Linked DNA regions of Stegostoma tigrinum. The protein of the gene in region 1 purifies or fractionates together with the protein of each later gene. This does not show direct contact. Links are inferred from orthologs where the notes say so. Each region holds a gene or a part of one and is shown in the gene's direction. Other genes may lie near its edges.

Evidence for each region.
Region 2: the proteins of sf3a2 (region 1) and ddx42 purify together in Homo sapiens (affinity purification with mass spectrometry; 3 studies listed by BioGRID and IntAct, with this or other methods). This does not show direct contact. The link is inferred for Stegostoma tigrinum from reciprocal best matches to the Homo sapiens genes SF3A2 and DDX42.
Region 3: the proteins of sf3a2 (region 1) and sart1 purify together in Homo sapiens (affinity purification with mass spectrometry; 3 studies listed by BioGRID and IntAct, with this or other methods). This does not show direct contact. The link is inferred for Stegostoma tigrinum from reciprocal best matches to the Homo sapiens genes SF3A2 and SART1.

Annotation. Positions count from the first base shown.
Region 1 is NC_081383.1:19,451,774-19,459,130, forward strand, and holds the start of sf3a2 (splicing factor 3A subunit 2), read left to right. Parts: upstream 1-3,097; 5' UTR 3,098-3,150; exon of another isoform or gene 3,151-3,211; intron 3,212-3,291; exon of another isoform or gene 3,292-3,461; intron 3,462-4,885; exon of another isoform or gene 4,886-5,017; intron 5,018-7,357. Other genes in the region: plekhj1 (pleckstrin homology domain-containing family J member 1), read right to left, coding at 2,513-2,606. UniProt on the Homo sapiens protein: Component of the 17S U2 SnRNP complex of the spliceosome, a large ribonucleoprotein complex that removes introns from transcribed pre-mRNAs.
Region 2 is NC_081384.1:40,116,870-40,124,226, reverse strand, and holds the start of ddx42 (ATP-dependent RNA helicase DDX42), read left to right. Parts: upstream 1-3,373; 5' UTR 3,374-3,602; intron 3,603-7,357. UniProt on the Homo sapiens protein: ATP-dependent RNA helicase that binds to partially double-stranded RNAs (dsRNAs) in order to unwind RNA secondary structures. Unwinding is promoted in the presence of single-strand binding proteins.
Region 3 is NC_081395.1:7,242,714-7,250,070, forward strand, and holds the start of sart1 (U4/U6.U5 tri-snRNP-associated protein 1), read left to right. Parts: upstream 1-3,682; 5' UTR 3,683-3,970; coding exon 3,971-4,211; intron 4,212-4,835; coding exon 4,836-4,890; intron 4,891-5,340; coding exon 5,341-5,396; intron 5,397-7,028; coding exon 7,029-7,158; intron 7,159-7,357. UniProt on the Homo sapiens protein: Plays a role in mRNA splicing as a component of the U4/U6-U5 tri-snRNP, one of the building blocks of the spliceosome. May also bind to DNA.

The DNA of each region.
Region 1 (7,357 bases):
AAATATTGCATTATACAAGACAATGGCAAGGCCAATTCTGGCCATCCTGCTATAAGGAGGATGTTACTGATCTAGAAAGGGCACAGAAAAAAATTGCAAGGATGTTACAAAATGCAAAATATACTAGCGATTTGATCTGGATATTGCTGTAATGCAAGGCAGCCAGAAGGCATGTTATCTAATGATTAAACACCCACAAGCAGGAAATGATGATAAACAGGCCAAAGCAATAAACTAGAGCAATCAGTCCTAACACAACTGCTTTTAAATGTTAGTTATATATAGAATTTAGAAAGAGAATGACTTGTTAATGTTTCGGACTGCTTTTCATTCAAACTTGTGCTTCAGTTTAAACTCTCCCACAAAGCAAATATTGCAGACGCTGAAGTGAACAAATTGCAGGAGCTATTCAGTGGAGCAAGTAACATCTGTGGAGAAAAAAGCTAATATTTGAGGGATGCAATCTTTAAAGGAAAAAAAACTTTAAATATAACAGACATTAGAGGTTTTAATCAAGTAGAATTAGGCCAACCAAGATGGGTGATGGCAGGTGGGATTAAGTTTTCTTCTCTCATTCACTTGCCTTGCCTCTTGGATGATGGGGCTGAATATAGGGCAGACTCATTAGCAATTATCATTGTCAAATGTAAGATGGGTAAGTTGCCAAAAGCAGGTAAAGGGTCTAGAAACAGGTATTTGACAGAGGGCAAAAATCTGGCAGATTGAATTTAATGTGAATTTGTCTACTTTGGAAGGAAAAACGGAAATGTACCCACTATTTAAAACAGTGCAGGCAGAGATTGCCAAACTGTGTCTGTGTGACCTGTGATGCAAATCAAAACAAAAATCAGTTTGCAGCTCTGGCAAGTGATTAGGGAGACAAATAGAATGGCAATTATTACAAGGGGAATGGAATACATAAGCAGGAACATTTTATTGCTGCAGGGCTTTGGTGAAACCATATCTCAAATACATGTACACTTTTTTTCAAAAAAGTGTACAAGGTTCAATTGGCTCATTTCTGATATGAAGGGCTCATCTTACAAAGAAACGACTGAGCTGGGTGGGCTAGTTCCTTCCAAGAACTTAGTAGAATGAGGGGATCTTATTGAAATATACAAGGCCATGAGTGAATTTGATACAGTGGATAGTTTTGGATAGGAAAATGGAATGGAGACCACAATCAGATCACGTATGATTTAATGGGAAAGGCAAAAGGAAAGGCCAAATGGCCTACTTCTGTTCCCAAATCCACATTCCCATGCTCCTTCACTTACTAAAGCTTGTTACAGCTGATATTTTCCACACCTGAAACATTAACTCTGTATCGCTCTCTAGAGATGCTCTCAACATACTAACTATAGTCAGCATTTTTAGCTTTGTAAATACAGATGTCAGACCTCTTAGACCTCTCTCTAGTCAACATTTTTGAATGAATTGGATGGTTATCAATCTCCAAACTGAATTTGAAATCATTTCAACACATCACAAAAATCATGCTCATATGAACAAATGTCTCCATTCCTATACAGGATCATTGGCCATTTAAACCCTCATTCATGCTAGTCACCTCCAGACCACTCAACATGAACTCAGCATACTCAAAAGACTTATTTATTGCACAACAAACCCAGTTCGACCATCACCTCTATCCACAAGACTCACATTAACATCCAGATTTTAACAATTTTATGTTACTCTCCTTATCGGCAAATACATTTACAGTCTAATCACCATTACTCCCACATCTGCAGGCCACCTTGTGTTTGTCTTTCCAGCCCAATGAGCAGCTGCCCTTTAACTCCATTTATTGATGATCTTGTTTTCTGGCTATGAGACTTCACACTCAAATCTCTCCCTCTCCCCCCAACCCACTCTTTTTCTGCTACAGACCCCACACTAAAATAGAAGCTTTCTTTTTTTAAAAAAGAAACATTCATAACATTTTTTTGGTTCATGTGGTTTCCCTGTCCCCAGGGTAGGGGTTATTGTTACAGTAAAAACTTATAAAATGCAATCATAATAGGTTGGCATTTACTTTACACTCTCTGCTGTCCCCTCCATCGACAGCTAACATTGACATATAATAGAGCTAAACAATTTGCGGTGCATAACCACTGTTTTCTGATTGTAGTGCTTGCAGCGAATTTAAGAAATGGAACAGGCAACTGGGTTTAAGTAGAAGTGATAACTGCTAATTTAGATACTCGAAGGAAAGGTGGGCAGAGTCAACTCTTGCACGTTGCACTCAATGTCACCAGCGGGTTACAAAATTATGAGGTAGGTATTGGTTCCAATGTAACACCCCAGGACTGTTTTCATCCTCCCTGCTGAGCAAGTGAAATCCCTTTCAACCCATCCGACCCCAATTCTGAGGAAGGGTCACCGGGCCCGAAACCTTAACTGTTTCTCCCCAACCCACCCCACCCCACCCCACAAATGTTGCCAGACCTGCTGAGCTTTTCCAGCAAGTTCTATTTTTGTTTCTCGAGCAGCTTAGATTGCTCCTTACCGTCGTTGCGCTTTGGGCCCTTCATGGTGAGCTCGGCTGCCTTCTCGGCCGGTTGTTTGGAGAGACACAGCAGCTCCTTCTCATTGTATCTCATGGTAGCTGGCAGAAAGGCCCCTTCCCCCTCGATATCACCCCTTCCCTCACCGAGGGGAGGGGGGGGGGGTGGATGTTAATGAGCAGTTCCTTGCCTTCAGACACAGCCACCACCCTGGACAAAGCTGCCCCACCTGGTGAGCGTTATCTCTGGAAGCGAAGGCCGAGCGGGAGGTGCGTGCCGTTGGTACAAAATCGCGATAAAGTCTGCGGCATATCTAAAAGTCAATAAACACGGGCACGCCCAATCTAGCGACAAATCATGACTTCGAGCTGCGGCGGAGGCTGGCACTACGCGGCACACCGAGCGGCAGACGGAACAAAAACCGCACCTCACCCCAACGCTCGACCTCCCTCAGAATCCACCGCGTCTTCTTGTCAATAAAGTTATTGAAAAGCCCCACTTCCGGTGGTCCACGACCTTCTTCCGGTTTTTGGCGCATCGCGCCAGTGTTCTTTGTTAATAAAGTTACTGATAACAGTAAGTTCCGGTGCGCCGCGACTTTCTTCCGGTCGGTTTTGGTGGCTGTTGGAGGCGTGTTCAGGTAGTCGCGGGGCTGATGGTTCGAGGCCGCTAGTTTATTGGTCCCTGGTAGCCGGAGCTTGGTGGGTCAGGCACAATATACCTTCGTCATGATGAATGTTCTTTCCCTCACTTCCCCCCCCCCCGGACCGGTTGTTAACCCGGCCATTTTCTGAGCTGGCCAAGGAACCTGAGGCCTGTGTTTCCAGGCTGTTTAATGCAACGTTTTCCTTTGTGTCTGCTTGTTTGTTCAATGGTAAAGCTGGAGCGATTGGGGTCAACTTTGTTCGGAGTGAGCTGAATAAGCAAAGTGCTTGGTCTGACTGAAACCAGGTTGAGAGTTTGTTTCCCCTTGACTTTTGGGTGGTGGTGTGAGGAGAAAGGTGGTTCGGCATAGAGGACCGAGTACCTAACACTGAGATGAGGAGAAGTTTTTACAACAACGCACTTAATGGGTTAGAGATAGTGGGAACTGCAGATGCTGGAGAATCCGAGAATCTTTTTCTGATGAAGGGTCTAGGCCCGAAACATCAGCTTTTGTGCTCCTAAGATGCTGCTTGGCCTGCTGTGTTCATCCAGCTTCACACTTTGTTATCACTTAATGGGTTAGATTTTGAATCTTTAGAATTCTGTCTTGGAGTACTGCCTACAGTTTTGTTTTCCTATCCTGAGCAGGGGATAAATATTTTTTGATCAACTTGTTCAGAAATATTATGATGTACCTCTAGAGCATCAGAGGGACTTTAACCCAGGCCTTCTGGTTCAGATGTAGGGTGTTTACCAGTATGTCACTCGACCCTTCTGAAAAGGGGATGTACTTGCCATAGAAGGAGCACAATGGCAGTTCATCAAATTAATCCCTCCGACAGCATGTTTGTTATACCAGGGATTGAGGAGATTGGGTATATATTTCTTAGAGCTTTGAAGATTTGGAGTTGAACTCATTGAAACTTACAGGACATGATAGGGTGAATATAGATAAGCTGTTTTCTCTGGATGTTAAACGAAAAATGAGGGGCCATAATCTCAGGATAAAGGATGAGGTATTTGGACTAAACTAACAGGTGCTGTGTTATTAGGTATATTCAAGGTTAAGATTGATGGATTGTTGGTGTCTCACAAATTCCTGATATAGGATTTATGAAGTTAAGGCAGAAAGTCAATGACATTTGTATTATGTGGTGGCCCAAGCTTAATGAACTGGGTGGTCTATTCCTTTTCCATACATTTAGTTTAAGAGTAGTGGAAAATGTTTGTACTGCATATGTACATGAATGATGTAAGGAGGAATGTTTTTGTTAATATATATGCTTCCAAACACTTGTGTGGTGAGGGAATCTTCTTTATTTCTGACGACAGATTTTTGCTTCAGCTTTAACTACATTTCACAAGATTGATCACTGGTTGCATCTGTTCTATTCTGTAGTTTTTCCCAATGGCTTGAGTTGAAACATTCAGCACATCATCACAAATATTTATCTTTTTGTTCCTATGCCATGTGTGTTCCCAGAATGTTAATCTTCTACCAGTTTTTTAAAATATATATTGCCTGACCACAATTTCAGCTGTTAGTACCGTTACATTCTACCCAAGTATGCAGATAATGCCAACATTTGTGTCCTTGCTGTTTCCTTGATTTGATGCTGCCCCTGTTTGGATGAGTGTGAATGGGTTAGAAACTTCTCTGGAATGATCTTAGCTGATGTTCTGACCCTTTGCGAAAAACTGAGTCTATCTCTCTTCAATTGCTCACCAAGGATCCACCATAAACAAGCTTGGTTTGCTGTTTGGAACAACTGACTTTGGCCTCGTTCCTAGTATCACTTGGGATCAGCTCATCTCCAAGTCTGAATATAGTAAATTTAACCTGCCCTCCAGTAGCTGAGCATGTAAGTGCTCAATATTTAAGTGAATTTTGAGACAACTCTGCATCTTTGAAGATGTTATGCTTTTTGGATGAAGTATTAAACCAGGATGTGTTCAACAACAGCAACTTAGCATTTACATTGGGAACAGGAACAGACCATGTAACTAGTCAAGCCTGCATCACCATTCGTTTACTTCAACACCACTTCCCTGCACTATATTAGTACTGTTTGATATCATTAATTTCTGACTTGAATATCTCAAATTTTTTTTTAGTTTCCGAAGCCCCTGGGTAGAGAATTCCAATATTCATTACCCTCTGAGTGACAAGATTCATGCACGTCTTGATTTGAACTTAGCTTACCCTTCCTTAGTTTATGTCCCCTGGAATTATACTTACCAGCCAGATGAAACAGCTTCCCTGCCTTCTCGCATCCTGTAAGCATTATGTAAGTTTTAGTGAGTTCATCCCTCATTTTGTCTTGAAACTTTAGAGAATGCAGATCCATCATCTTCAATCCATCATAGAAAAATTACACTACCCCAGGGATTAATCTAGTGAACCTCCATTCCCCTCCTGTTCTGGCATGCATATCCCTTTGTTAGATATGGGAATCAAACTGCACACTGTACTCCAGGTGAGGTCATGCAAAGGCTTTATTCAACTGCAGCAAGATATTTTTATTCCTGTTTTCAAGTCCCCTTATGATGGAGAGCCAGCATACCATATGCCTTCCTAGTTATTTGTTGAACCTGAATGCTAACTTGTAGGATCTTTGGACATCCTCAGTTTCCAACCTCTCACCATTTAGGAAAAAGTCTGCTTTTCTGTTTTTGTTTCTCAATTAAAGCAAATAACTGCACATTGACTCACATTATTTTCCACCTGCATATTCTAGCCAATTCACTAAGTTTGTCTAAATTCTTCTTGAAGCCTTTCTTAGTCTGTTTCACAATGTACCCACCCAAATTGGTGTCATCAGCAAATTTTGAAATATGACAGTTGGTGCCTAAGCTGAAATTATTGGACTGAAAATAGCTTATGAACACAAGTCAATATAGTTTTGTGCATTATTTAACAGCCTGCTTTCCTGAGCATGGTCTGTTAATTCCTACTCTCTGCTTTCTGTCTATTAAAAGCCCTGTCAACCCTCTACAGTCCTCCTTGCTAACATCTAGGGACTAATGCCAAAATTTTGGCACTACATTCTCAAACATTCACTCCCTCCACCCCCAACACACAGTTGCAGCAGTGTGTACTATCTACAAGATGCATTGCAGAAATTCACCAAAGATCCTCTGACAGCACCTTCCAAACCCATGATAACTTCCATCTCGAAAGAGAAGGGCAGTAGATACACAAGAACACCACCAAGTTCAAGTTCCCCTCCAAGCCATTCACCATCCTGACTTGGATATACATTGATGTTCCTTCACAGTCACTGGGTCAAAATCCTGGAATTCCCTCCCCGATGGCATTGTGGGTCAACCCACAATGATAGGCTACATCAGTTCAAGAAGGCAGCTCACCACCACCTTCTCAAGGGCAGCTAGGAATGGACAATAAATGCTGGCCAGCCTGCAGTGCCCACATCCCATAAAATGAATAAAAAAACCCTCAAGTCCTGGTAACATCCTGGTGAATTTTTGGTTTATGTGTTCATAGGAAGCTATGAAAATAATTGCTATTTTGTTCCAATGTAGTGTTCCTCCTCCAGAGTCCTTACAATTGGAATTACGCCAGCATTCTATTTCGTCAGCTTCACTCCAACTACAACTTATATTAATGAGATTGGTGACCATCTCAGCATTTTACAAGGGGGAGAAATGAACAATGGAAGACTAGTAGTGCATTTGAACAGTTCAGTTTTCATGAGGCTATAGGAAGCAGGTAGAGAAGTATGAAAAATTTCAAGGATGTGTACTAAGCAATTAGAATATATGTGTTGGGAGACAGAAGTAAAACCAATTTAAAGAAATGGATACCAATGGCTGGAGTGTAGTGTTACAGATTTCATAGATTAAAGAGAAGCTATACATGGATTGAATGAGTGGGGTAGGGCCTTTGAAATTGGCACAAGAAATCAATTCAGTTTAGTCAGGATGGACGTGATAATGGGCAGTGATGATTAGCTGAAGCTGATAGAGAGCTTGTGAGAATTAAATTTTTGGAGATGCTTAACACATCAATGGACTATTTTAGTGTGAAGTAACAGTGTTATTTGGCAACCTGCAAGAAGGCAATGTATTGAAAGGGGAAGAATGGGTTCTAATGGTGAGCTTAGAATTGATCAGACTAACTTGATCTTCACTGCAGGATTTACAGCTGGTGCCTGAATTTTGCAGGTGTGAGCAAACCTTCA
Region 2 (7,357 bases), on another chromosome or scaffold:
TTGAAGAAAAAATGCACACAAAGTGCAGGCTGGGGGGGGGGGGGGGGGGGGGGGGAGAAGAGAAAAAGAAGTTTGAGGGGTCTAATTCAGTATTGTATTCAGAGAGACAGTCACATCCCTGGGGCTAAGTAATTCACATTTTTTTCATAAGATGACGTGCAGCAGTGAGAGATCAGATAGCAATGAATGAGCTACAACCCTGACACATATCCACCCAAGTTCAAGCTTCTTGATACTGTGCTTAAAGAATTATAGGATCCCTACAGTGTGGAAGCAGGCCATTTGGCCCATCGAGTCCACACTGACCTCCTGAAAAACATCCAAACCAGACCCACCCTATCCCTATCCCGTGCGAGGAAGCCAGAGCAAAGGCATGCAGACATGGGGAGAACATACAAACACAGACAGTTCCAAGGGTGGAATCGAACAAAGGTCCTTGGTGCAGCGAGCTAATAATGCTGACCAGTGTTGCTGTGCCACCCCAATAGCCAGGGCTAAATGGAGGATAAGCAAAAGTGACCACTGATACAGGAGCCATTGAATTTGAGAATAAAATGCAATGTTGTGGCCGGGCGTAGAAGACAGTACAGTTGGAGTCTCTTATTTTCTGCATCCCAGAACACAAGTCCCCTGACAGCCTACTCAGTGTCAGAGTTAATGACACCATCTTGGGGTTACAGAATGAGGAACATGGTATGGGAGGAGAGGAAGATGCAATTACTGTACCCCACCAGAGTATCAATATGAAGGAGCAAGAGTAGGTTATTCAATCCATTGTTTTGTAACCACAGTTCTACATTTCTTCCTTTTTTTTGTTCATTCACAAGAGGAGGGCATTGCTGGCTGGGCAGCATTTATTGCCCATACCTAACAGCCCAGAGGTCAGCTGAGTCAACCACATTGCTGTGGGTTGCGTCACACGTAAGCTAAGGATGGCAGGTCCTTCCCTAAAAGGACATTCGTGATTCAGATGGGTTTTTTCCTGACAATTGATGATGGATTCACAGTCATCATTAGATTCTTGTTTCTAGGTATTTATTGAGCTCAAATTCCACCATCTGCCCTGGCAGGATTCGGACCCTGGTCCTCAGAACATTATCTGGGTTTCTGGATTAACAGAGATAATACCACTAGGTCATCGATTCACTCCAATCTTCTACCCGTTATCAAGAATCTATCGACGTCTGCTTTAAAAAATACAAGAGATTCTGCTACCACATTTTCAAAAGAGTTCTAAAGAACCTGAAACCTCAGATTATTTTAAACGGGTGACGTCTGAGCTTTAAACAGTAACCCCTAGTTCTTAACTCTAATAAAAGAATGCACACCAGCTCTATACTTACTGAGTCAAGACCTCTCAAAGTCTTATGTTTTAAATCAAGATCACCCCCCCACCCCGCTCTTCAGAACTCCACCATAAATAAACCTAGACTGTCCAACTTTTGCTTAAATGACAATCCACTCAATTCAGCTATTTGTCTGGTAAGTCTCCAAACTGACTAGAAAGCATTTACATGCTTCTGTAAATGAAGTGACGAACACAGTACACAGAATGCTAGATATGCATTCACAATTTTTGTAGTTAAATCCTCTTGCATTAAACAGTAACATTCTATAAGTTACCCTAATTAACTGCTGTACCCGCATTCTAAACTTTTTCAATTAGTGTACTAGCAGACACCCAGATCTTTTTGCATCTCTGGCCTCTGCAGTGTCTCACCGTTTAGATGAGTTGTCTTTTTGTTTTAAAATCCTTCCTGTTAAGATAGACATTTTTCTCATTTTCCCCATATTATACTTCACCTGGCCATTCACGTAATCTACCTGCATCATTTTGCAGTCTCCTTGTTATGTCACTTTCTCACATATACGTGCATAACAGCAAATTTGGCAACAGTCCATCCCTTCATCCTAGTCACTTCTATTAATTGTACAGTTGAGGTCCAAGCACCAGCCCATTAGTCGTTCCATACTGCCAAACTGAAAGAGACCCTACGTTCTGCTTCCAGTTATCCAGTCAAAGTTCTGACCATGACAATAAGCTAGCAATTACACCATGAGCTTTCATTTTCCACAATAACCTTTCACAATTTCCATCTGGAAATCAAGTTCAGTTTTTTACGTGTTCCCCTCCATCCACAGCACATTACTTCCTCAAACATGACCTCCCTTTTGCAAAACCATCCTGACTCTGCCCGATTAACTTGATTTAATGTAAATGCTACATAGCAACTTTTTCCAATGACCATTTTTTGAAATACTTCCCCTCAGACAGAATTTACAGGGAGCACTGTTTTATTAGATACTATCAATTCATTCAGGTTTTTATAGTGCAATTCAATCTAACTAATCAAGGGTAAACCAACTTTTCAAAACACAGTAAGAAGTCCATGCCAGGCTCATCAAACACATAGGTGTTCATTAATACCTAGCAACAATTCATTGATTATTTAACACATTTGCTCTTTTTAGGGCGTCCACATACACGATAGCTTGCACAGCTCACTACACTTCAAGAAAGGAAAAGAATGGCATAAAGACATTTTTGAATCTCATAAAACATGAAAACAGGCTCCTAGCCCTCCTCTGGCACGGCGCTCCCACAGCGCTGATTTGAGTTGAGCTGAGCAGTGTAAAGAGTTTTTGTCGTTTTCTGACAGTCAGCCCTGGCCGCAGGTTAATGCTGCAGAGTCAGACTGTTTGGTCAATATAGCCCGCATATAAAAACCAAAAGAACTGTGGATTCTGTACATCAGGAACAAAAACAAAGTTGCTGAAAAAGCTCAGCGAGTCTGGCAGCATCAGTGAAGAAGAAGAGTTAACGTTTCGGGTCCGGTGACCTTTCCTCAGAACCGCATACATGTGGCTCTATCTCTGCAACCCCACGGGCCAAGCCGAGTCAACTCAATCTTGTCCCTGTACTCACCTCAATTCGTGAGCCCGCCGCTGCCGTCTCCCGTTTCTTCACGGCTACCCGCCACCTGCGGAAATCCCGCCTTCTATCACTATTTCGATTGGCACCGAACCCATGATTGACATGTCCGGTACCACAGGTCCCTATCTCTGATTGGATTAGTGCTCTGTCAATCGCCACCCTTCGGCAAATAAGGTCAGAGTTCACCGGCCACGGCTTGGTCCTAGACATCGCCAGACCACGGACCTGAACTCTTTTCGTATTTTGAAATTTTCTGTCAGTCAGAAATTATTTTTCCTTCATCTTTATTTTCTCCCGGCCTCTTTTGCGGTTTCCAGCGTCATTTCCGAAAACAAAAGTAACCGGAAAACCGCGTTACCCCTTGACCTAGTGACGTCAGGCAGTTTGATTAAAAGAAGTTTCGTAAGTGGCACTGTGCGATCTCCAAATACAGAATTTATAAGTTTCCCTCCACTGCCCGGCAATTTCTGAGAGAAATGAATGGAAAATAATCAGTTTTTTAAAAAAGTGAAATGTGTGAGGTGGGGGAAAGAAGAGGCGAGGGGTGCGCATGCGTGGGGAGCTGCGGCTCGGTGGTGGCGACGACGTTCGAGGATTTTCTCCATTTCCTTGGGCCGGGTGGCGCCTGCAGCCGAGGGCAGACAAAGGGTCGGGCTGTTGTCACAAGGTGTGTAACTGCCAAGTGCTCGTCCTCCCTAGTGTAGGCTCCTGGGGCCTCGATTTGGACCCTCCGCTCGATCTGGGCCTTCTCCCCGTCCCGGGTGGTGTTTACAACACTGCGAACACGAGCAATTAAATCTAAGCAGTATACCTGCACCGTTTACCTGTCCTGCTTAAATACCGAGCACCGGCAGGTACCTAGAGCTGGCCAAGCGAGTTAATATTACAATCGTGACAGGCCTAACGAGGGGGAATCCGCGGAAGAATTTGGATCGGAGACTCCTTCGAACGCATTTCTCAGATAGAAAGTAGGAGCAAGTGAAAGCCATTTAGTTCTTCGAGTATGATCCGCCATTCAATATGATCGTGGCTGATCATCAACTCAGTAGCCCCTTCTCGCTTTCTCCTCATACCCTCGAATCCGTTTAGCCCTAAGAACTATGTCGAACTCCTTGAAGAGATGGTGTTTTTCTGTTAATTATTTTCTATGGCAGAATTCCATAAGTTCACCACTCGGGTGGGAAAAGGCATTTCTGTTCAGTCTTATGGCTGGCCTCTAGTTCTGGACTTCCCCCGTCAACAAGAACACCCTGCATTTGTTCCATCTAATCCTCTTAAACTTTTATAGACTTCCATAAGATCTCTTCACATTCTCAATCTCTAGTTTATACGGTTCTATCTGCATCCCACGAATCAATCTGGTAAACATTTCCTGTGCTCGTTCCTAAGACATAGCATCTTTCCTTAAATAATCAAATGAAAACTCTACACAATACCTCAATTATGGCCTTAAAATGCACCAGGACAGCCCTGCTTTTGTAGTCATATTGCCTTGCTATGAAGGCCAACCTTTGCTTTCTTCACTGCCAACTGCACCAGCATGCATACTTACAGCAATTAGTGTGCAACGTCTCCAAGTTTCAGTGCACTTCTCCCCTTCCCCAATTTATCACCATTCTGATAATCATCCTTGTTTTTGCTACCAAAGTGGATAACCTCACGTTTATTCATATTCCAATTTATCTGCCATACATTGCCCCACTCTCTCAAACTGTCCAAATCAAACCATAGCATCTCTCTTCCTCCCAGCAATTCCCTCAGTTTTGTATAATCTACAAACTTCCCTAATCTAAACCATTAATATATATTATGAACAGCTGGGATGCAGGCACTGATCCCTGTTGAACCCTATTGGTCAATAGTTTTCCCTCATAAAATGACCTGTTCATTCCTATTTTGTTTCCTGTCTGCCAATCAGTTCAATATCTATGTCAGTGCACTAATCCCAATCCCATGTTGTTTCCTTTTATATTGGACCTTACCAAACACTGGCTCTCCTCAACAATTCTACTAGTAAGGTCCTTGAAAAATTCCAGTAGGTTTGTCAAGCACGATTTCCCATTAGTAAATCCATGCTGACGTTGCCCAATCATGCCACTTTTTTTTCCCAAGTACTGCACTATTAAATATATAATAAAGACACAAGCATTTTCCCTGCTCCCAATGTCAGGCAAACTGGTCTATAATTCCCTCTTTTCCCTGAAAGGCTTTGATCTGAAATGTTAATGATTCTTCTCAGGTGTTGTCTGTTTGCTAGTTACCTTGTTAACAGACTGGCAGAGGTGTAATTTTGACTTCCAAATATTTTACTAACCATATTAAAAATTTTTGTGTGGTGGCCAAGGGACTGTCTCAAAGTTGAAATCTATTTGAGCTGTTTCTGCATTGTGAATTATAGGCCTGGTTGAGAGTGCTGTTTTATTTAAGCTTTCCCAGGTACAGCTGTACTACTAAAGCAGATTATTTAAGAGTCCAGATATTATGATAGCAAGTAGGGAGGGTCTTGGGTGAGTCTATCTTTCTCGATGACAACTGCTGTTGAACAATATTGACCGGAGTAAAGAGTGTCCTGAGAATTGTCCCTTTTGTCAGTATTACTGTTGAATGTGTTCATTGAAAATGCCCACAATCCTGCAATTGGTCAGCACAGTGGCTGAATGGTGAGCACTGCTGCCTCACAGCACCACGGACCCAGAGATAATGGGAACTGCAGATGCTGGAGAATTCCAAGATGATAAAATGTGAGGCTGGATGAACACAGCAGGCCAAGCAGCATCTCAGGAGCACAAAAGCTGACGTTTCGGGCCTAGACCCTTCATCAGAGAGCGGGATGGGGAGAGGGAACTGGAATAAATAGGAAGAGAGGGGGAGGCGGACTGAAGATGGAGAGAAAAGAAGATAGGTGGAGAGAGTATAGGTGGGGAGGTAGGGAGGGGATAGGTCAGTCCAGGGAAGACGGACAGGTCAAGGAGGTGGGATGAGGTTAGTAGGTAGATGGGGGTGCGGCTTGGGGTGGGAGGAAGGGATGGGTGAGAGGAAGAACAGGTTAGGGAGGCAGAGACAGGTTGGACTGGTTTTGGGATGCAGTGGGTGGGGGGGGGAAGAGCTGGGCTGGTTGTGTGGGTGAGAGGAAGAACAGGTTAGGGAGGCAGAGACAGGTTGGACTGGTTTTGGGATGCAGTGGGTGGGGGGGGGGAAGAGCTGGGCTGGTTGTGTGGTGCAGTGGGGGGAGGGGACGAACTGGGCTGGTTTAGGGATGCTGTAGGGGAAGGGGAGATTTTGAAACTGGTGAAGTCCACATTGATACCATTAGGCTGCAGGGTTCCCAGGCGGAATATGAGTTGCTGTTCATGCAACTTTCGGGTGGCATCATTGTGGCACTGCAGGAGGCCCATGATGGACATGTCATCTAGAGAATGGGAGGGGGAGTGGAAATGGTTTGCGACTGGGAGGTGCAGTTGTTTGTTGCGAACTGAGCGGAGGTGTTCTGCAAAGCAGTCTACAAGCCTCCGCTTGGTTTCCCCAATGTAGAGGAAGCCACACCGGGTACAGTGGATGCAGTATACCACATTGGCAGATGTGCAGGTGAACCTCTGCTTAATGTGGAATGTCATCTTGGGGCCTGGGATAGGGGTGAGGGAGGAGGTGTGGGGGCAAGTGTAGCATTTCCTGCGGTTGCAGGGGAAGGTGCCGGGTGTGGTGGGGTTGGAGGGCCTATTGGGGAAACCAAGCGGAGGCTTGGAGACCGCTTTGCAGAACACCTCCGCTCAGTCCGCAACAAACAACTGCACCTCCCAGTCGCAAACCATTTCCTCTCCCCCTCCCATTCTTTAGATGACATGTCCATCATGGGCCTCCTGCAGTGCCACAATGATGCCACCCGAAGGTTGCAGGAACAGCAACTGATATTCCGCCTGGGAACCCTGCAGCCTAATGGTATCAATGTGGACTTCACCAGTTTCAAAATCTCCCCTTCCCCTACAGCATCCCTAAACCAGCCCAGTTCGTCCCCTCCCCCCACTGCACCACACAACCAGCCCAGCTCTTCCCCCCCCACCCACTGCATCCCAAAACCAGTCCAACCTGTCTCTGCCTCCCTAACCAGTTCTTCCTCTCACCCATCCCTTCCTCCCACCCCAAGCCGCACCCCCATCTACCTACTAACCTCATCCCACCTCCTTGACCTGTCCGTCTTCCCTGGACTGACCTATCCCCTCCCTACCTCCCCACCTATACTCTCTCCACCTATCTTCTTTTCTCTCCATCTTCGGTCCGCCTCCCCCTCTCTTCCTATTTATTCCAGTTCCCTCTCCCCATCCCGCTCTCTGATGAAGGGTCTAGGCCCGAAACGTCAGCTTTTGTGCTCCTGAGATGCTGCGTGGCCTGCTGTGTTCATCCAGCCTCACATTTTATCACCACAGA
Region 3 (7,357 bases), on another chromosome or scaffold:
ACTGCACCTTCCAAACCCACCACCCACTTCCATCCAGAAGGACAAGGGACAGCAGGAACATGGGAACACCACCCCCTGCACAATCCCCTCCGAGCCACTTCCCATCTTGATTTCGAAGTGTATCGCCTGTTCCGTCACCGTTTGAGGTCAAAATCCCGGAATTCCCTCCTTAAGGGATATTGTGGGTCTACCTACGGCACACAGACTGCAGCGGCTCAAGAAGGCAGCTCCCCACCTCACGGAGGCCAACTAGGGACAGGGCAATTAATACTGGGCACGGCCAGTGACGCCCACAAAGAAACCTACAGCACAGGAACAGGCCCTTTGGCCCTCCAAGCCTGCGCCGATCAAGATCCTCGGTCTAACCTGTCATCTCTTTTCTAACGGTCGGGTCCATTTGCTCCCTGCCCATCCATGTACCTGTCCAGATATATCTTAAAAGACGCTAACGTGTCTGCGTCTACCACCTCCACTGGCAACGCGTTCCGGGCACCCACCACCCTCTGTGTAAAGAACTTTCCACGCATATCTCCCTTAAACTTTCCTCCTCTCACTTTGAACTCATGACCCCTAGTAATTGAGTCCCCCACTCAGGGAAAAAGCATTTTGCTTTCCACCCTGTCTATACCCCTCATGATTTTGTAGACCCCAATCAGGTCACCCCTCAATCTCCGTCTTTCTAATGAAAATAATCCTAATCTACTCAACCTCTCTTCATAGCTAGCACCTCCATACCAGGCAACATCCTGGTGAACCTCCTCTGCATCGTCTCCAAAGCATCCACATCCTTTTGGTAATGTGGCAACCAGAACTGTACACAGTACTCCAAATGTGGCCAAGCCAAAGTCCTACACAACTGCAACATGACCTGCCAACTCTTGTACTCAATACCCTGCCCAATGAAGGAAAGCATGCCGTATGCCTTCTTGACCACTCTATTGACCTGCGTTGTCACCTTCAGGGGAAAAATAGACCTGAACACCCAGATCTCTCTGTTCATCAATTCTCCCCAGGACTTTTCCATTTACTGTGTAGTTCACCCTCGTCCCACAAAATGAATTTTTTTAAAAAACTGTCAATTAGATAACAAGGTGTAGAGCTGGATGACCACAGCAGGCCAGGCAGCACCTGAGGAGCAGGAAGGCTGACGTTTCGATATTTCCTCTTAGTTTCAGCAGGTCGTCATAATATCTGACACTTCATTCCCTTTGAGATAAAAGCCAGCAATCCATTTGCTTTCCCATTTACCGGCTGAACCTGGGTGTTGTCTTGGTGATATTTTCCTTCCATCCCTTCTGATCCCCGCTCTCACCCCTCGTTGCGGTCCACTGTAGCGGCACGGACTCAAACTAACTCACTTTCATTTATTTCGCTCTCGTGGACGTGTCTGTGGACCGTCCTCAATTTTTGTTTGACCATTTCGGAGGCCAGTTAAGAGACAATTGCTTAGAAGCGGGAGCACGTCACTGCTTCGGGTGTTTCCTTCTCGAAAGGTCGTCAGTGATCAGATTATTTTTATTCTACAGAATTGAAACTCAGAATGGGGGTTTCAACTCCGCAATTATCCCGTTTAATTTTCTTCTGCCGCAGTAGGAATCGACCCCACGTCCCAAGAGGATGATCGGGGATGTCAGAATTATTGCAATGATGATAGTTTCACGAAGCCAGTTAATTCGCCTCAATCCATGCCCCAACACTCAGCTACAGTGATCACATCGCACTTAGAGGTGCCTCTGCACTGTCCCCCATCAAACACTCCCCAGGGCAGGGAGAGCACGGGGTTAGATACAGAGTAAAGCTCCCTCTGCACTGTCCGCCCATCAAACACTCCCCAGGACAGGGAGAGCACAGGGTTAGATACAGAGTAAAGCTCCCTCTGCACTGTCCCCCATCAAACACTCCCCAGGGCAGGGAGAGCACAGGGTTAGATACAGAGTAAAGCTCCCTCTGCACTGTCCCCCATCAAACACTCCCCAGGGGAGGGAGAGCACGGGGTTAGATACAGAGTAAAGCTCCCTCTGCACTGTCCGCCCATCAAACACTCCCAGGGACAGGGACAGCACGGGGTTAGATACAGAGTGAAGCTCCCTCTACACTGTTCCCCATCAAACACTGCCCAGGACAGGGGCAGCACAGGGTTAGATACAGAGTGAAGCTCCCTCTACACTGTCCCCCATCAAACACTCCCCAGGACAGGGGCAGCACGGGGTTAGATACAGAGTAGAGCTCCCTCAACACCGTTCCCCATCAAACACTCCCCAGGGACAGCACGGGGTTAGATTCAGAGTAAAGCTCCCTCTACAGCTCCAAACTGTACATAAAACTCTGTCAATACACTCACTCTCCCTACTGGGAGAAAAAGTTATTGAATTAAACAGTGTCGGATGCATTTGGAGGCCGGTTTGCTGAAGATCAATGAGGTTGTGCTGAGTGTGGAGAGAGTGGCCTGGATTGAGGGCTTTAGAAGGGGGAATACTTTCCATTGTACAACTTTAAATAGACTCAGCAGTAGAAGTGTGAAAGTGGATGGAGAAATCGTGCCGGAATCTGTAGCCAAAACATTTTATTGTGAAGAGACGATTAGGAGGGAAACATAATCGATTTTTTTAAAAAAGCGGGTAAATTGCCGCTTTAAGAGGGCGGGGAAGGATGTGACGTTTAGGGAGAGGGGACGGGGTGAAGGGTCAACCGGAAAGTGGCGGCCATCTTAGTCGGAGGCGACGTCTTTCGGCCGGAGCGCGAGGAGACACCGGTCCCGGCAACGGGAGCGCGCGCGGCACGCGTGTCCGACGGGGAGGGGAGCGCGCACGCCACTAAACCCCGAAAGGCGCGGCCTCGGTGAACGGCGCGCGTTCCCGGCTCGGAGCTCCCTAACAGCGCGTGAACCACAAGCGCGGGATGTAGCGCGCCCCCGTCGATTGCGAGCGCGCGACCCTGTCGCTCGCTCCCCCACCCTCCGCCGAACCTCAGCGCGCGCGCCTACCCCCCCTTTTCTGTGATTGCGCGCGCTCCCGGGGGCGCGCGTGACCGACCTGGGACGCGCGTCGTCCCCCCTCTCCCTCGTCAAACATCCATCTCTCGGGAGCGTGACCGCGCGTTTTCCGGGACAGCCGAGCCGTGGTGCGCGCGACCGACAGTTAGTGCGCGCGCGCACCCACCACCCGCGGGTGCGTGTAGAGCGCGCTCACCCCCGCCCCCCACTCCCGCCGTGGGCCGTGTGAGAGAGCGCGCGTCTGCGGTGAGTTGCGCGTGATCGAGTGCGCGCCCCCTGCTGCTGTCAGACCCATCTCTGCACCACCCCCCCAGACACACACAGAGACAGACAGACAGAGACAGACAGACAGAGACAGACACACAGAGACACACAGACAGAGACACACAGACAGACAGAGAGAGACAGACACAGACAGAGAGACAGACAGACACACAGAGACACACAGACAGAGAGACACACAGACAGAGAGACACACAGAGACACACAGACAGAGAGACACACAGACAGACAGAGAGAGACAGACACAGACAGAGAGACAGACAGACACACAGAGACACACAGACAGAGAGACACACAGAGACACACAGACAGAGAGACACACAGACAGAGAGACACACAGAGACACACAGACAGAGAGACACACAGACAGACACAGAGAGACAGACAGACAGACACACACAGACAGACAGAGAGACAGACAGACACACAGACAGAGAGACACACAGAGACACACTGACAGAGAGACACACAGACAGACAGACAGAGAGACAGACAGACAGACACAGAGAGACAGACAGACAGACACACACAGACAGACAGACAGAGAGACAGACAGACAGACACAGAGAGACAGACAGACACACACAGACAGACAGAGAGACAGACAGACAGAGACAGAGAGACAGACAGACAGACACACACAGACACACAGACAGACACAGGGATTGGGGTTTGTGGGGGGTTTAAAGGCGGACAATGGGATCCTCCAAGAAGCACCGGGAGAGGGAGAGGGAGAGGGGCTCAGGGGGTGGGGAGGAGTCGGCCCGCCACAAGAAGCACAAACACAAGGAGCGCAAGCAGCGCGGGGGCAGCCGGGAGAGGGAGGGCCGCCGTCACCGGGACAGGGACCGCGAGCGGGACAAGAGACCCCTCCCCGCACCAGCCGCCGACGCCCAGCCAGAACGGCACCCCAAGAGGGAGAAGACCGAGGAGGCAGGTCAGAGATGCCGGGGTGACGAGAGTAATTGGGGTGGGGGTGGGAAACGGCCTAGGGTAGGGAATCTGCAGACCCCCCTGGGGCAGAGCACGGGCTGGGGGGCCAGAGTGTCTCATGTTCCCCCCCTCCCCCCCTTCCCTATCCGTTCAGGGTGGGCTTTGGTGTCAGAATCTCTTACTCTCTGCGTTGGGGGGTGCGGCTGAGGGTCAGCGTCGCTCCCTGACCCTGGCACGAGCAAGGATCGGGGCCAAAGCCCCTTCCATCTTTGAGGACTGGGGCCAGAGTCCCCCCCACTTTCCATGTCCTGGTTGGTGGGAAGGTTGGGGTCTCTCTGCAGTGAGGTGCCAGGGGAAGGGGTACCCCTTCCCCTATACCAGCCGGGGTGAGGTTGGTACAGACAGGGTCCCTCCAAGTGAGGAGTAGGGCACTGGGAGGGATTGTCGGGTGAGGGTCTTTGCGGGCAGCAGTCTGGAGGTGTGTGCAAGCCTCCTGCGGATGTGTCCCTGCAGCAAGCTTTAAGCTTTTGGACACTCCTGGATTCCAGGGGGTGGTTGTGGTCAGCGATTAGGAATGTGCTGCATGTCGAGTGAACCTGTTCTCACTGCACATTCTCTTCACCTTCAGCTCCAGGGACAAAGTCTGGTGCTGCGAGCGCCTCCTTGAGCATCGAAGAAACAAAGTGAGTGAATTTGCAGCAGTCTCGGGCCATTCGGTCCATCTGATCTGTGGTGGTGACTGTGGGACACATGAGAGGCACAGGGCTGCCCTTTCGGGACCGAGGGAGCGCTGTACTGTCGGAGGGTCAGCGCTGAGGGAGCTCCACGCTATCGTGTTAAACTGAAGCCCCATCTTCCTTGTTGGGTCGGTTATTTATAAAAAAAATCCCATAGCTAAGAAGCAAAGGACGAGCATCCTGCCTGTGTCCTTAGCGCCAGCGTTCGTTCACCACCCAGCATTAGTATCGCTGCATTGTCATTGTCATCCTTATTTGTGGGAGCTTGCTGTGCGCAGGATGGCTGGCAGATTTCAGAATTGCTTGATTGGCCGTCAAATGCTCGCGGTTGGCCCTGTGATCGGCATTTATAGAAAAGTGAAGCCTTCTGATCTAATTGTCCTCTGTTCTCTGCAGCAAGCTGAGAGCCAAGCTCGGGCTCAAACCCCTGGAAGTAAATGATTCGAAAAAGAGTGAGTCCAGTTTGTTCTGAAAGTGATTTCTGTGCTGTAGAAAGGGGGAACGGGTATCGGAGGGACCGAACAGTTGAACTGAAAGGGCCGTTCTGGATCGATTGCAGACAGAGTTGAGCAGAAATAGGACCCAGGCTACGAGTGACTTCAGTTACCTGGGGGAGGTGGCGGGGGGAGGGTTGAGGCGAGATTTGCTGGCAAACAGCACTGGTTGTGATCACGCAAGGACTGGGGGATTAATTCTACTGACAGGAGGGTGAAGGGAATCTGAAGAGTGGGAAATGAGATTTTTTTTCTGAAGTGCAGAGTTGTTGTAACTTGGAAAGTGCTTCACGAAAGGGTGGTGGGAGCAGATTCAGTGGGAACTTTTGAAGATAAATAATTGAGCTTAAAAAGTCCCAATTCCAGGACTGCGGGACAAGAACACGGTGTCTTAGCGGTGAGCACTGCTGCCTCACAGCACCAGGGACCCAGGTTCGATTCCACCCTCGGGCGACTGTCTGCATCTGCGTGGGTTTCCTCTGGGTGCTCCGGTTTCCGGAAATGCGCAGGTTAGGGTGGATTGGCCGTGCTAAATTGTCCCATAGTGTCCACGGATGTGCGGGTTAGGGTGGATTGGCCGTGCTAAATTGTCCCATAGTGCCCAGGGATGTGCAGGTTAGGGTGGGTTGGCCGTGCTAAATTGTCCCATAGTGCCCAGGGATGTGCGGGTTAGGGTGGATTGGCCGTGCTAAATTGTCCCATAGTGCCCAGGGATGTGCAGGTTAGGGTGGATTGGCCGTGCTAAATTGTCCCATAGTGCCCAGGGATGTGCGGGTTAGGGTGGGCTAAAGGTGGGAAATGTAGGGGTAGGGGAATGGGTCTGGGTGGGGTGCTGTTCGGAGGGGCAGTGTGGACCAGTTGGGCCGAATGACCTACTTACACCCTGCAGGGGCTCTGTAAACTGGGTGTGGAGGAGACTGGGACTAAATGAATCGCTCTTTCAAAAGGAGACCCACGGTGAGCTAAATGGCTTCCTGTGTTGTGTGAGAATGAAGGTGAGGGTGGTGCTGGCTTTAGGGTTAGAAAGCCTTCAGGGGAAGAGCAGGCCACTCACGAGAGATTTGGGACAGAGTCCTGGTGCTCTGACATTTGAAAATGGAATGAGAGTTTGGACCTCGAGACAAAAACCAGATGGAGCTTTTATTTTTCCCCTAGTGTTTTTACCCTTCAATTTAAGGTTGACAGCTTCACAGCTGAGAAGGCAACAGTCTCTTACTGCTAGACTTAGAGGAGGTTGTAAGGTCCAAAACCTCAGAGGCTTGGAGCCATCATCTTGGACGCGTTCCAGGGCATTGCGGTGGGTTGGCGTCTTTCAGGAGAGACCCCTTCTATGGTAATGGATCTGTGGGGATGCTGATTTGTGGAGTTCCTCCTGCAATTATGTACTCTCAGGCAGCGTGACAGGCCATCGTGACATGCCCAGACTAGTCTCTGGGATTCCCAAATCTCAGCAATGACCACACTGTGAACTTGTCTGTTTTCGAAGGGAGTTGCTGTGCTAACATGTTCTCGCTCTCTCTGCCTTGCCCCCCTCTTCCCCCCCACCCCCCCCCCCCCCCCCCCCCCCCCCCGCCCCACACACTGCTGCAGCTGAGACCGGGACAAATGAGGACCCAGTTGTGGTCCCAGCCATTAACCCCATCGCCATGAAGCAGCAGGAGGACATTCGGGTGAAGCTTGCTGCCCTGAAGGAGAAACGTCTCCTGAATCAGAAGCTAGGGTAGGTCAGACCCGGCGTCCGCGAGAACCTTTCTCACCTTGTCTCCCTGGGAACTGGGCTGCTCTTTGTGTACTTAAAAATAAAGCACAGTAACCAGATCTGACAGCACCAAAACACAAAGGTTAATGGAAATAGAACATAGAAATGTATGAAAACTGAGAGCTTTGGGTGCACTGCTGTATCCCAGCCGCTGTGGAAC